Caenorhabditis elegans: one gene and its partner. The protein of the gene in region 1 purifies or fractionates together with the protein of each later gene. This does not show direct contact. Each region holds a gene or a part of one and is shown in the gene's direction. Other genes may lie near its edges.

Region 1 (5,546 bases):
TGAAAATGAGCCTGTCCGTGGAGGAGTTATAACAACTCTGATTAGAGATATTCTAATAAAGGAAGCAATTATTGAATTTCTTCTGGATCGAAAGAATACGAGCGAAGAATATGGTCATTCGATGGGGAAAACTTTACTGGTTGTGCCACCCGATATGATAGAATCTTGGAAGAAACTTCTCGAAAAACTTTTGGAAAAAGATGATCTCGTGATTCACTACTTCTATAGAAATGAAGACAAAAAGCCAGATGATAGTCATGAAGTCGTTATCACTACTTACGACATGCTCAAAAATATTGAAAATCGGAACATTCTATGGAAACGAATTATTTTCGAGGATAATTATTCAGCGAGCGAAAAAGACAGGCAACAATATCAATTACTTTTTTCATTTCTTTGCCAGTTACATGCGGAATATCGTTGGTGCCTGACGGAAAATCCGACGCAACAAAAATTGGCTCGTTTTATGAATCGGAAAGAATATGGTGAAAGTCATAATTTGATAAAATCAATTTCTTTGGGAAATGCTAAAGACGATGAAGAAAAAAGCACTGCAAAACTGGTTAAAAACATTGAAGGCTTTTTGAAGCAAGTTACCTTGCGTTTCCCAAGAAGTCGTAAGTTGTATAAAATCTCGATTCAATTTACTAAAATTAGCATTTTAAAATTTGCAGCGAATGATTATAAAAAACACATAACTAATGCAAAAAAAGAAAAAAACGAAAATGAGCCCAATATCAGCAAATTTTGCAACAATATGTTAGCCGCAATAGTCAGCTACACCAAAGAGTTCTACATCAAACATTTCAAAATTTGTGCAGAAAGTGATGAGGATATAGAAGAAATGTATGATTCATTTTGTGCTGGTTTTAAAAACACGTCGGATGTCGGTCTTATTATGAAAATATGGGTGGACGCGCACTTTAACTTTTCCAAAAGCGAGCAAGATCGTTGTTTCATTGGGAAAACAGCAATGAAAAATATTATCGAAAATTTTGAGAAAGCAATCAAAATAATTGAGAAAGCTACGCAAACATCTATTGAGGAAAGCTACAACCAAATGAGAGCTGCTAGGTGAGTTGTCTAACAAGAAAATTATTTTAGCAAGGTCCCTGACTATGCAAAATTTAGATTTTATTTTGAAGCTTACGAATATGATTTATTATTGTGTAAGCTTAGAAAAACGAAAAATCATTCTTCGTTCGAGCGTTATAATTCTGAGTGAAAAATAGGACGGTTTGCTTCTTATAATTTCATTTTGAAAACAAAGACAGTGTTTTGTCTCTATTATTAAACTTTAAAAAATCATAAAAATTTCAGGAGTGGAAAACGACCAATAGAGGAAGTTAAAGCTTCAAAAGCTTAAGCCATGCCAATTAAATATAGAAAATGCAACAAAAAAACGGGAATCATGTTTAACAATTGTTTTTATTTGTGAAAAAAAAGATGAAATTGTTACAAGTGCTTTGTTATTTTATATTTAAAAATGCGTATACATTATACAAACATGAAATTTAAATTATATCTTTTATAGTCCCAATAATCCCACTATGTTCTCTTTTTTAAATAAAGATGGTTTAAACATATCCCCATGATAATTCCACGGTCGACATTGCAAATATAATATTTAATTAAATGTCATGAATTTGTGGACCAGAGCTTTTCACGAACCAATCAGTTTCTTTTTTCATAACGGTTAAGCTTTATAGCGTGGTCGGAAATTAGTCTTGAATGAACAGCATATCACAAGTTCTTTTAATCTCGATTTCATCAGTATCAGATGTAGGCACTACTTAACTGTCTTTGTCGATGACAAACAATTCTTTCGAAATCAAGAGCGATAAGAAGAAGAACTGGAAGCAAGTTGAGTGAGCACGCAGTACGTGTGTGTATACAACACACCGTCTTTTTGACTCTCGATTCACTTTCTTTATCAATTATTAGGAAGTATATCTCTGAAAAGGTAAGCTAATGCTTCCCAAGCAAAAACGTGAGGCGAAAATAATAAGATGGTATAAGAAAAAAATTTCTACATTCTCATGTTCAGTGAACAAAATATTTTTTAACGATTTTGTGAAATATATAGGAAACTGTCTTTTTTACAGAACCAAAAAACAGGATGAGTTCTGATTCGGATATGAAGAATGTAATGCAAGATTTGAAGAAACTTGAAAATAGAAAAGACAGCGGAGGAATAATCACTGTACCCACGAGTGATAGTGAAATAGATCAAGTAATAATTTCATATATTCTGGAACAAAAGGAGCAAGGAACTTCTGAGAATAATATTAATTTAATCGTTGGGACGCCTAAGTGGATAAAGTCATGGAATTTGAAATTCAATGGATTCATCAGGGCGGGCATTCTGAAAGACGATGATCTTCTTATTTCCTATTTTTACAACCGGACAAAGTCTCGCAGTTCGAATGAACTTGCTAAAAATGATATCGTCATCACTACTTACGATACATTGAAGACAAAATCAAACCTTCCAATTTTTAAAGCTGTCGATTGGGAACGAATCATACTTTATGAAGCAAACAAGATTAGTGACATTAACACTTTACGATTTGGAGCAATTTGCGAACTTAAATCAAAATATCGTTGGTGCCTTACGGAAAATTTCAAACAACATAGTTTGGCTTTTTTTTTGAAGATGTATGATGTTGATTCCTTTAAAAACACCAAAAGTCTAGAAGAGCACAAACTTCTTGTGAAGGACATTGAGAAAGACTTGGAGCAAGTTAATCTGTATTGGTCAAGTACTGGTGAGTTTTAAAAATAATAATGTTGACAATAATAGTAATAAATAATAATATTAGCGTCTCCTTAGGAATAAAGTTAGCCCACCCTTCGAAATACACACAAACTGAAATATATATGTATACATATGTATGTACATATATATTCGTGACTCAAAAAAGAAAATAACCAGGTCTAATTGTCCAAAGGGAAGATAGAAATAACATAGTAAACTTAGTGTCTTTTTTTACAGAATTGAAAATGAAAAGGATAAACTTTGTTTTGAAACCCCGTCAAAAGGAGTTTACAAATAGTTTAGCGCAATGTGAAGCAGAATCTACATATAGAACAACGGCATATGGAATGAATGAAGATGAGATAAGAAAATCAATCATTGCATTCCTTCTGGATCAAGACGAAAAAAGCGAAAGAAGTAGTAGGGCTATGGGAAAAACTTTACTGGTTATGTCACCCGATGTAATAAAACCTTGGAAGGAACTTCTTGAAAGTCTTTTGAAAGAAGATTATCTTGCAATCAACTACTATGGAAATGAAACCAAAAAGTCAAATAATAGTCATGTAGTCGTTATTACTACCTATGACAGGTTTGAAAAAAGTTATAAAAAGTACATTCAATGGGAACGAATTATTTTCTATGGATTTTCTCTTGCCAATGCAAAATGCAACCAGCATTATCAAAAACTTCTTCAACTATCCGTGATGCACCGTTGGTGTCTGACTGAAGAAAACACACACCGTTTCTCAGCTCATTTCTTGAAGGGGAACAATGACAAAATTGGAGAAGATGTAGTCGTGAATAACATTGAGCAAAAATTGCACTTGTTAAGTACTAGTAAGCTTTTTTTAAAAATAAACAGAAGATCAATTCCTCTAGTATTTTTTTTAAATTAAAAAACTGTTTGCAGCAAAATATTATTTTACCCTCATGACTAGTGCAATAAAAGCATCAAAAGCTAATGATTGTTGTCAATTTTCCAATGATATGTGGGAATCAATTGTCAGTTACACCAAAGAGTTCTTTTATAAAAATTTCGAAATTTGGCTCAAAGAAGATGAGAGTTTAGAGGAAATGTATGAGATGATGTGTCTTGGTCTTGATGGATCAGCAGCCGCTTTGATAATTCGTTTATGGGTTGATGTAAACTGGAATCATACTGCGTGTAAACACGATTCATTTTTCATCACACGAGATGAGATGGATGATATTGTTGATAGGTGGAAAAAATCGATTGACTTGACCGAGAATGCTCATATTGATTTAATTCGCAATGTACTTATCGAAAAGAAGTTATTGCAGGACTTGGTAAGTAAGTGTGAAAATGAGTCTGATTGTGAGTTACTGTGAGTTGGGTCATAGTTATGTAGAAAATTGGTAATCTCAAATACTTGTCAAGTTGTTTTTACAAAATGTTCACCAATTTTTCTCAAAAATTAGATTCAATCTTGATTTTAAAATAGTTCCGTCTGTGGGGAAATTATTGAAAACCAATCCTGTGGTAGCTGATAGTTTTAAACATAATTAGAACATAAGACTGGAAGACTTTTTTTCTATAAATTGACGACTTCCAAAGTCGTCAATTACTTTTTATCATGGGTGCACTTCATTTTTAATGGTTACACATTTCCAGCATAAACAAGTGCCTTCAAAAAGTATTAAAAAAACCATACTTTCAGCTACCTACGTATACACCTTCGTATATCATCTACGACTTTGATGTACTCTTGACGAAAGCAAAAAAAATGTCGGAACAGGATCCTCCCGATATAGTGATTTTCTCCTACCTCATTTGGGGCGCAGCTGTTGTATGCTTGAGAAAGTTCTTTCTCGACAGATTAAAACTCGAGATTTCGGGCCAAAATGCACAAGAAATACTCATGGAAATTGTTGTCGACTCTTTTACAGACGACACTGGTGGACGTCTACTCAGAGCCTGGACATTTGCAAAACTGTAAGACAATTTATTGTTTCCATGATTCCTGATACACTAAAAATTCAGTTGTCGCAAGAAAGCATACGCTATGAGCCATTCAAACCTGCTGCTGAGAAATTACATTCTAGAATCGGTGAAGAGCATGGAAGAATGCATCAATAAAGCCGACATCGAAAAAATTTGGAAACAGTTGGAAGCTTCTGATTTACAAATATTGAAGTTGTCAAAAAATTATTTTGTGACAATCGGGAAAGATAAATTTTTGTACAACAAAGTAACGTGTTGATAATAAATGTTTCATGTTCCTTGTATTGTTACAGTTTTTGAGCATTTGATAAGCATTTTCAAAACAAGTGGCAAAACAAGTATTGTTAGACCTCCTAGCTATTATAATACCATCAATAAGATATGAAGAATTCTTGAGGATTGTATTATTATTGCATTTGCATTTCAGGTTTCTTGTAATGAACAAATAATTCATTTTACTACCTCGTTGGCGAAATAACTTCAACGCAAATATTTCATTCTACGACGAAGAGACTTGAAAGTTGCTCAAATGAACGAATTTCGCAGGTTCAAAGTTTTCAAAAAAGTACACTGATTATAGCTGAAACCTCGAATTTCGGTCACTCTTCCGTGTCGCAGCGGTCGGAAGTTGACTTTTTCAGCTTTATCATCCTTTATTGTGCATCTGGTAGTTTATCTCATTTGATATCGTTGTACATCACTTTTATACTGCAGTATTATTGGATTTGAAACTTTTCTTTCATCATCAGAAAGGTTCTGCCAATACCGATACCCAAAAATAAATGCTGCGGATCACACGCTGAGAGCCGAAAATTAAATTGAAAT
Region 2 (4,976 bases), on another chromosome or scaffold:
AACTGTAATTTTTTTTGAATTCTGACGACGACAAACCTGAAATTAGTATATTTCACAGTTTTACAAAATATATTTTTATTTATAAAACTGTAAAATATACTAATTTCAGGCTTGCCGTCGTCAGAATTCAAAAAAAATACAGTTTTAGGCATTTTCAGTTACTTTTTAACAAACATTTTGCATATGTCTTTTTTATTTCTTTCATTTTCCAACAAAAAAAAACAGAAGAAATGAAGAAATTCAGTCGAATAATGAGAATAAATAAAATTAATTAATTCCAATAATGCAAGCGCGCTCCATCGGTCAAATCCGATTGGCGGTAATTCAAATAGGAATTAGGGGAAAACTGAGATTTTTTCAATTATCAAAAAAAAATCTTATAAAATCTAGAAAAAATTTTTTGAATTTTTTTATCATGATATTCGGTCAATTTCCCCACAGATTGTGGGTCTCGCAGCGAAAATTGAGATTTTTATCGTTTTTTGAGTTATTTCAATGAAAAATCGATTGATTTTCAGGCGAAAAAAGTCGGGAAAACTGTGAAAAAAAATTATTTTCGAAAGAAAAAAAAATTTCAAAAAATCACCACCATTTCAGCCGAAAAACTCGCAGTTCATTTCCACGACACATACGGTCAAGCTCTCGCAAATGTGCTCATTTCCATCGAAAAAGGCATCCGAAGTGCGGATTCAAGTATCGCAGGGCTCGGTGGTTGCCCATATGCGAAAGGAGCAACTGGAAATCTTGCAACTGAAGATTTATTGTATTTTTTGAAAGGAAACGGTTTTGAAACTGGTGTCAATTTGGACAAAGTTGTCGAAACTGCAAAATGGTTTAATGAAGCCGCCGGATATGATAAATGGTCGAGAGTTGGAGCTGCAATGATGGCTAAAAAGAGCAAAAGCTGCTGCTGAAAATGTGTGCTGTAAAAAATTTAAAAAAATTTTTAAAAATTCGTGTAAAAATTACCCCGGTTGTTTAGGAAATAATAAAGAGATTAGAGACTTTTTTCAGATTTTTATTTTCTTGAGTTTTGCCGGTTTTCAGCCGATTTCTATCTTTTTTTTCTCATTTTTTGTGATTTTTTTTCGCTAGTTTTCCCCTCAATTTCTCGATTTTTTCACGATTTTTTGAAAATTTTCGGAAAATTGAATTGTTTGCAAAAAAAAAAATTCAAAAACCGCATTTTTCTCAGAATTTTTCTGGGATTTTGTACAAATTTTTGAATTATTTCTCAAAAAAAAGCAGGTTTTTACCGATTTTTTTGGTTTTTTCCCCAAAATTTTCCGATTTTTTCCGAGTTTTGCCGGTTTTCAGCCGAATTCTACTCTCGATTTTTTTACGATTTTTTGGAAATTTTCGGAAAATTATTTGAAAAAAAATCAAAAAACCGCATTTTTTTTTCTGAATTTTCTGGGATTTTGTACGAAATTTTGAAATTTTTCTCGAAAAAAGCAAGTTATTCCCCAAAATTTTCTGATTTTCCCCCAAAAATTTAGATTTTTCCCGAGTTTTCCCCAGTTCTCAGCTGATTTCTATATTTTTTTCTCAATTTTTGTGATTTTTTGTTGCTAGTTTTCCCTTCAATTCCTCGAGTTTTTCACGATTTTTTGGAGATTTTCGAAAAATTGTTTGAAAAAAATCAAGAAACCACATTTTTCTCTGGATTTTCTCGAAATTTGCACAAAATTTTTGAATTTTTTCGTAAAAAAAAACTGTTTTCCCCAAAAATTTCAGATTTGTTTTTGATTTTTTTCGAGATTTTCCCCTGATTTCAAAGTTTTTTCCTGAATTTTTCGAATATTTCCTGAAAAATCGGCTATTTCTAACTTTTTAAATAATTTTTTTTGAATTTCTGACTTTTTAAATCCTTTTTTTTTTGCCATTTTTTCCCATCTAAAATTCTAAATTATTCAAAATTTTACAGAATGTCAGAAGTAATCGACGAAAGTATCTTAAATACAGAAGCTTCAGATGATCCAATACCTCCATTAAATGATGATCAGATTGCTGAGCTTTTGGGTGAAGATGGAGAAATTATGGAGATAACTGAGCAGAAAGGTGAGATTTTTTGAGTAAAACCTTGAATTTTGCACTAAAAATTTGCAATTTTCGCTAAAAATTACCTTAAAACTCGAAAATTGGAATTTCTAGCTGAGAAAATGGCCAAAAATGTCGAAAAATGCCTCCGAAACCTGTGAAAAAAAAAACCACCAAAAAGGTTTCTAGGCCACCAAAAAGATTTCTAGGCCACCAAAAATGTTTCTAGGCCACCAAAAATGTTTCTAGGCCACCAAAAATGTTTCTAGGCCACCAAAAATGTTTCTAGGCCACCAAAAATGTTTCTAGGCCACCAAACAGGTTTCAATGCCACCAAAAATGTTTCTAGGCCACCAAAAATGTTTCTAGGCCCCCAAAAAATTTTTCTAGGCCACCAAAAAGGTTTCTAGGCCACCAAAAATGTTTCTAGGCCACCAAAAAGGTTTCTAGGCCACCAAACAGGTTTCAATGCCACCAAAAAGGTTTCTAGGCCACCAACCAGGTTTCAATGCCACCAAAAATGTTTCTAGGCCACCAAAAAGGTTTCTAGGCCACCAAAAATGTTTCTAGGCCACCAAAAATGTTTCTAGGCCACCAAAAAGGTTTCTAGGCCACCAAACAGGTTTCAATGCCACCAAAAATGTTTCTAGGCCACCAAACAGGTTTCAATGCCACCAAAAAGGTTTCTAGGCCACCAAAAAGGTTTCTAGGCCACCAAAAATGTTTCTAGGCCACCAAAAAGGTTTCTAGGCCACCAAACAGGTTTCAATGCCACCAAAAATGTTTCTAGGCCACCAAACAGGTTTCAATGCCACCAAAAATGTTTCTAGGCCACCAAACAGGTTTCAATGCCACCAAAAATGTTTCTAGGCCACCAAAAAGGTTTCTAGGCCACCAAAAATGTTTCTAGGCCACCAAAAATGTTTCTAGGCCACCAAAAAGGTTTCTAGGCCACCAAACAGGTTTCAATGCCACCAAAAATGTTTCTAGGCCACCAAACAGGTTTCAATGCCACCAAAAATGTTTCTAGGCCACCAAAAATGTTTCTAGGCCCCCAAAAAATTTTTCTAGGCCACCAAAAAGGTTTCTAGGCCACCAAAAATGTTTCTAGGCCACCAAAAAGGTTTCTAGGCCACCAAACAGGTTTCAATGCCACCAAAAAGGTTTCTAGGCCACCAACCAGGTTTCAATGCCACCAAAAATGTTTCTAGGCCACCAAAAAGGTTTCTAGGCCACCAAAAATGTTTCTAGGCCACCAAAAATGTTTCTAGGCCACCAAAAAGGTTTCTAGGCCACCAAAAAGGTTTCAAGGCCACCAAAAAGGTTTCAATGCCACCAAAAATGTTTCTAGGCCACCAAACAGGTTTCAATGCCACCAAAAAGGTTTCTAGGCCACCAAAAATGTTTCTAGACCACCAAAAAGGTTTCTAGGCCACCAAACAGGTTTCAATGCCACCAAAAAGGTTTCTAGGCCACCAAACAGGTTTCAATGCCACCAAAAATGTTTCTAGGCCACCAAAAAGGTTTCTAGGCCACCAAAAATGTTTCTAGGCCACCAAAAATGTTTCTAGGCCACCAAAAAGGTTTCTAGGCCACCAAACAGGTTTCAATGCCACCAAAAATGTTTCTAGGCCACCAAACAGGTTTCAATGCCCCCAAAAAATTTTTCTAGGCCACCAAAAAGGTTTCTAGGCCATCAAAAATGTTTCTAGACCACCAAAAAGGTTTCTAGGCCACCAAAAATGTTTCTAGACCACCAAAAAGGTTTCTAGGCCACCAAAAATGTTTCTAGGCCACCAAAAAGGTTTCTAGGCCACCAAAAATGTTTCTAGGCCACCAAAAAGGTTTCTAGGCCACCAAACAGGTTTCAATGCCACCAAAAAGGTTTCTAGGCCACCAACCAGGTTTCAATGCCACCAAAAATGTTTCTAGGCCACCAAAAAGGTTTCTAGGCCACCAAAAATGTTTCTAGGCCACCAAAAATGTTTCTAGGCCACCAAAAAGGTTTCTAGGCCACCAAAAAGGTTTCAAGGCCACCAAAAAGGTTTCAATGCCACCAAAAATGTTTCTAGGCCACCAAACAGGTTTCAATGCCACCAAAAAGGTTTCTAGGCCACCAAACAGGTTTCAATGCCACCAAAAAGGTTTCTAGACCACCAAAAAGGTTTCTAGGCCACCAAACAGGTTTCAATGCCACCAAAAAGGTTTCTAGGCCACCAAACAGGTTTCAATGCCACCAAAAATGTTTCTAGGCCACCAAAAAGGTTTCTAGGCCACCAAAAATGTTTCTAGGCCACCAAAAATGTTTCTAGGCCACCAAAAAGGTTTCTAGGCCACCAAACAGGTTTCAATGCCACCAAAAATGTTTCTAGGCCACCAAACAGGTTTCAATGCCCCCAAAAAATTTTTCTAGGCCACCAAAAAGGTTTCTAGGCCACCAAAAATGTTTCTAGACCACCAAAAAGGTTTCTAGGCCACCAAAAATGTTTCTAGACCACCAAAAAGGTTTCTAGGCCACCAAAAATGTTTCTAGGCCACCAAAAAGGTTTCTAGGCCACCAAACAGGTTTCAATGCCACCAAAAATGTTTCTAGGCCACCAAAAATGTTTCTAGGCCCCCAAAAAATTTTTCTAGGCCACCAAAAAGGTTTCAATGCCACCAAAAATGTTTCTAGGCCACCAAAAAGGTTTCTAGGCCACCAAAAATGTTTCTAGGCCACCAAAAATGTTTCTAGGCCACCAAAAAGGTTTCTAGGCCACCAAACAGGTTTCAATGCCACCAAAAATGTTTCTAGGCCACCAAACAGGTTTCAATGCCACCAAAAAGGTTTCTAGGCCACCAAAAATGTTTCTAGACCACCAAAAAGGTTTCTAGGCCACCAAACAGGTTTCAATGCCACCAAAAAGGTTTCTAGGCCACCAAACAGGTTTCAATGC

The links. The genes of interacting proteins can lie anywhere in the genome.
Region 2: the proteins of C25F9.5 (region 1) and lin-65 fractionate together in Caenorhabditis elegans (co-fractionation; one large-scale study listed by BioGRID). This does not show direct contact.

Annotation. Positions count from the first base shown.
Region 1 is NC_003283.11:19,407,173-19,412,718, reverse strand, and holds C25F9.5 (SNF2 N-terminal domain-containing protein), read left to right. Parts: upstream 1-1,861; 5' UTR 1,862-1,963; intron 1,964-2,105; 5' UTR 2,106-2,119; coding exon 2,120-2,768; intron 2,769-2,995; coding exon 2,996-3,595; intron 3,596-3,668; coding exon 3,669-4,066; intron 4,067-4,437; coding exon 4,438-4,712; intron 4,713-4,760; coding exon 4,761-4,980; 3' UTR 4,981-5,007; downstream 5,008-5,546. Other genes in the region: C25F9.4 (SNF2 N-terminal domain-containing protein), read left to right, coding at 1-617, 675-1,074, 1,321-1,366.
Region 2 is NC_003279.8:1,753,402-1,758,377, forward strand, and holds the start of lin-65 (uncharacterized protein), read left to right. Parts: upstream 1-1,927; 5' UTR 1,928-1,928; coding exon 1,929-2,061; intron 2,062-4,976. Other genes in the region: Y71G12B.10 (hydroxymethylglutaryl-CoA lyase), read left to right, coding at 598-914.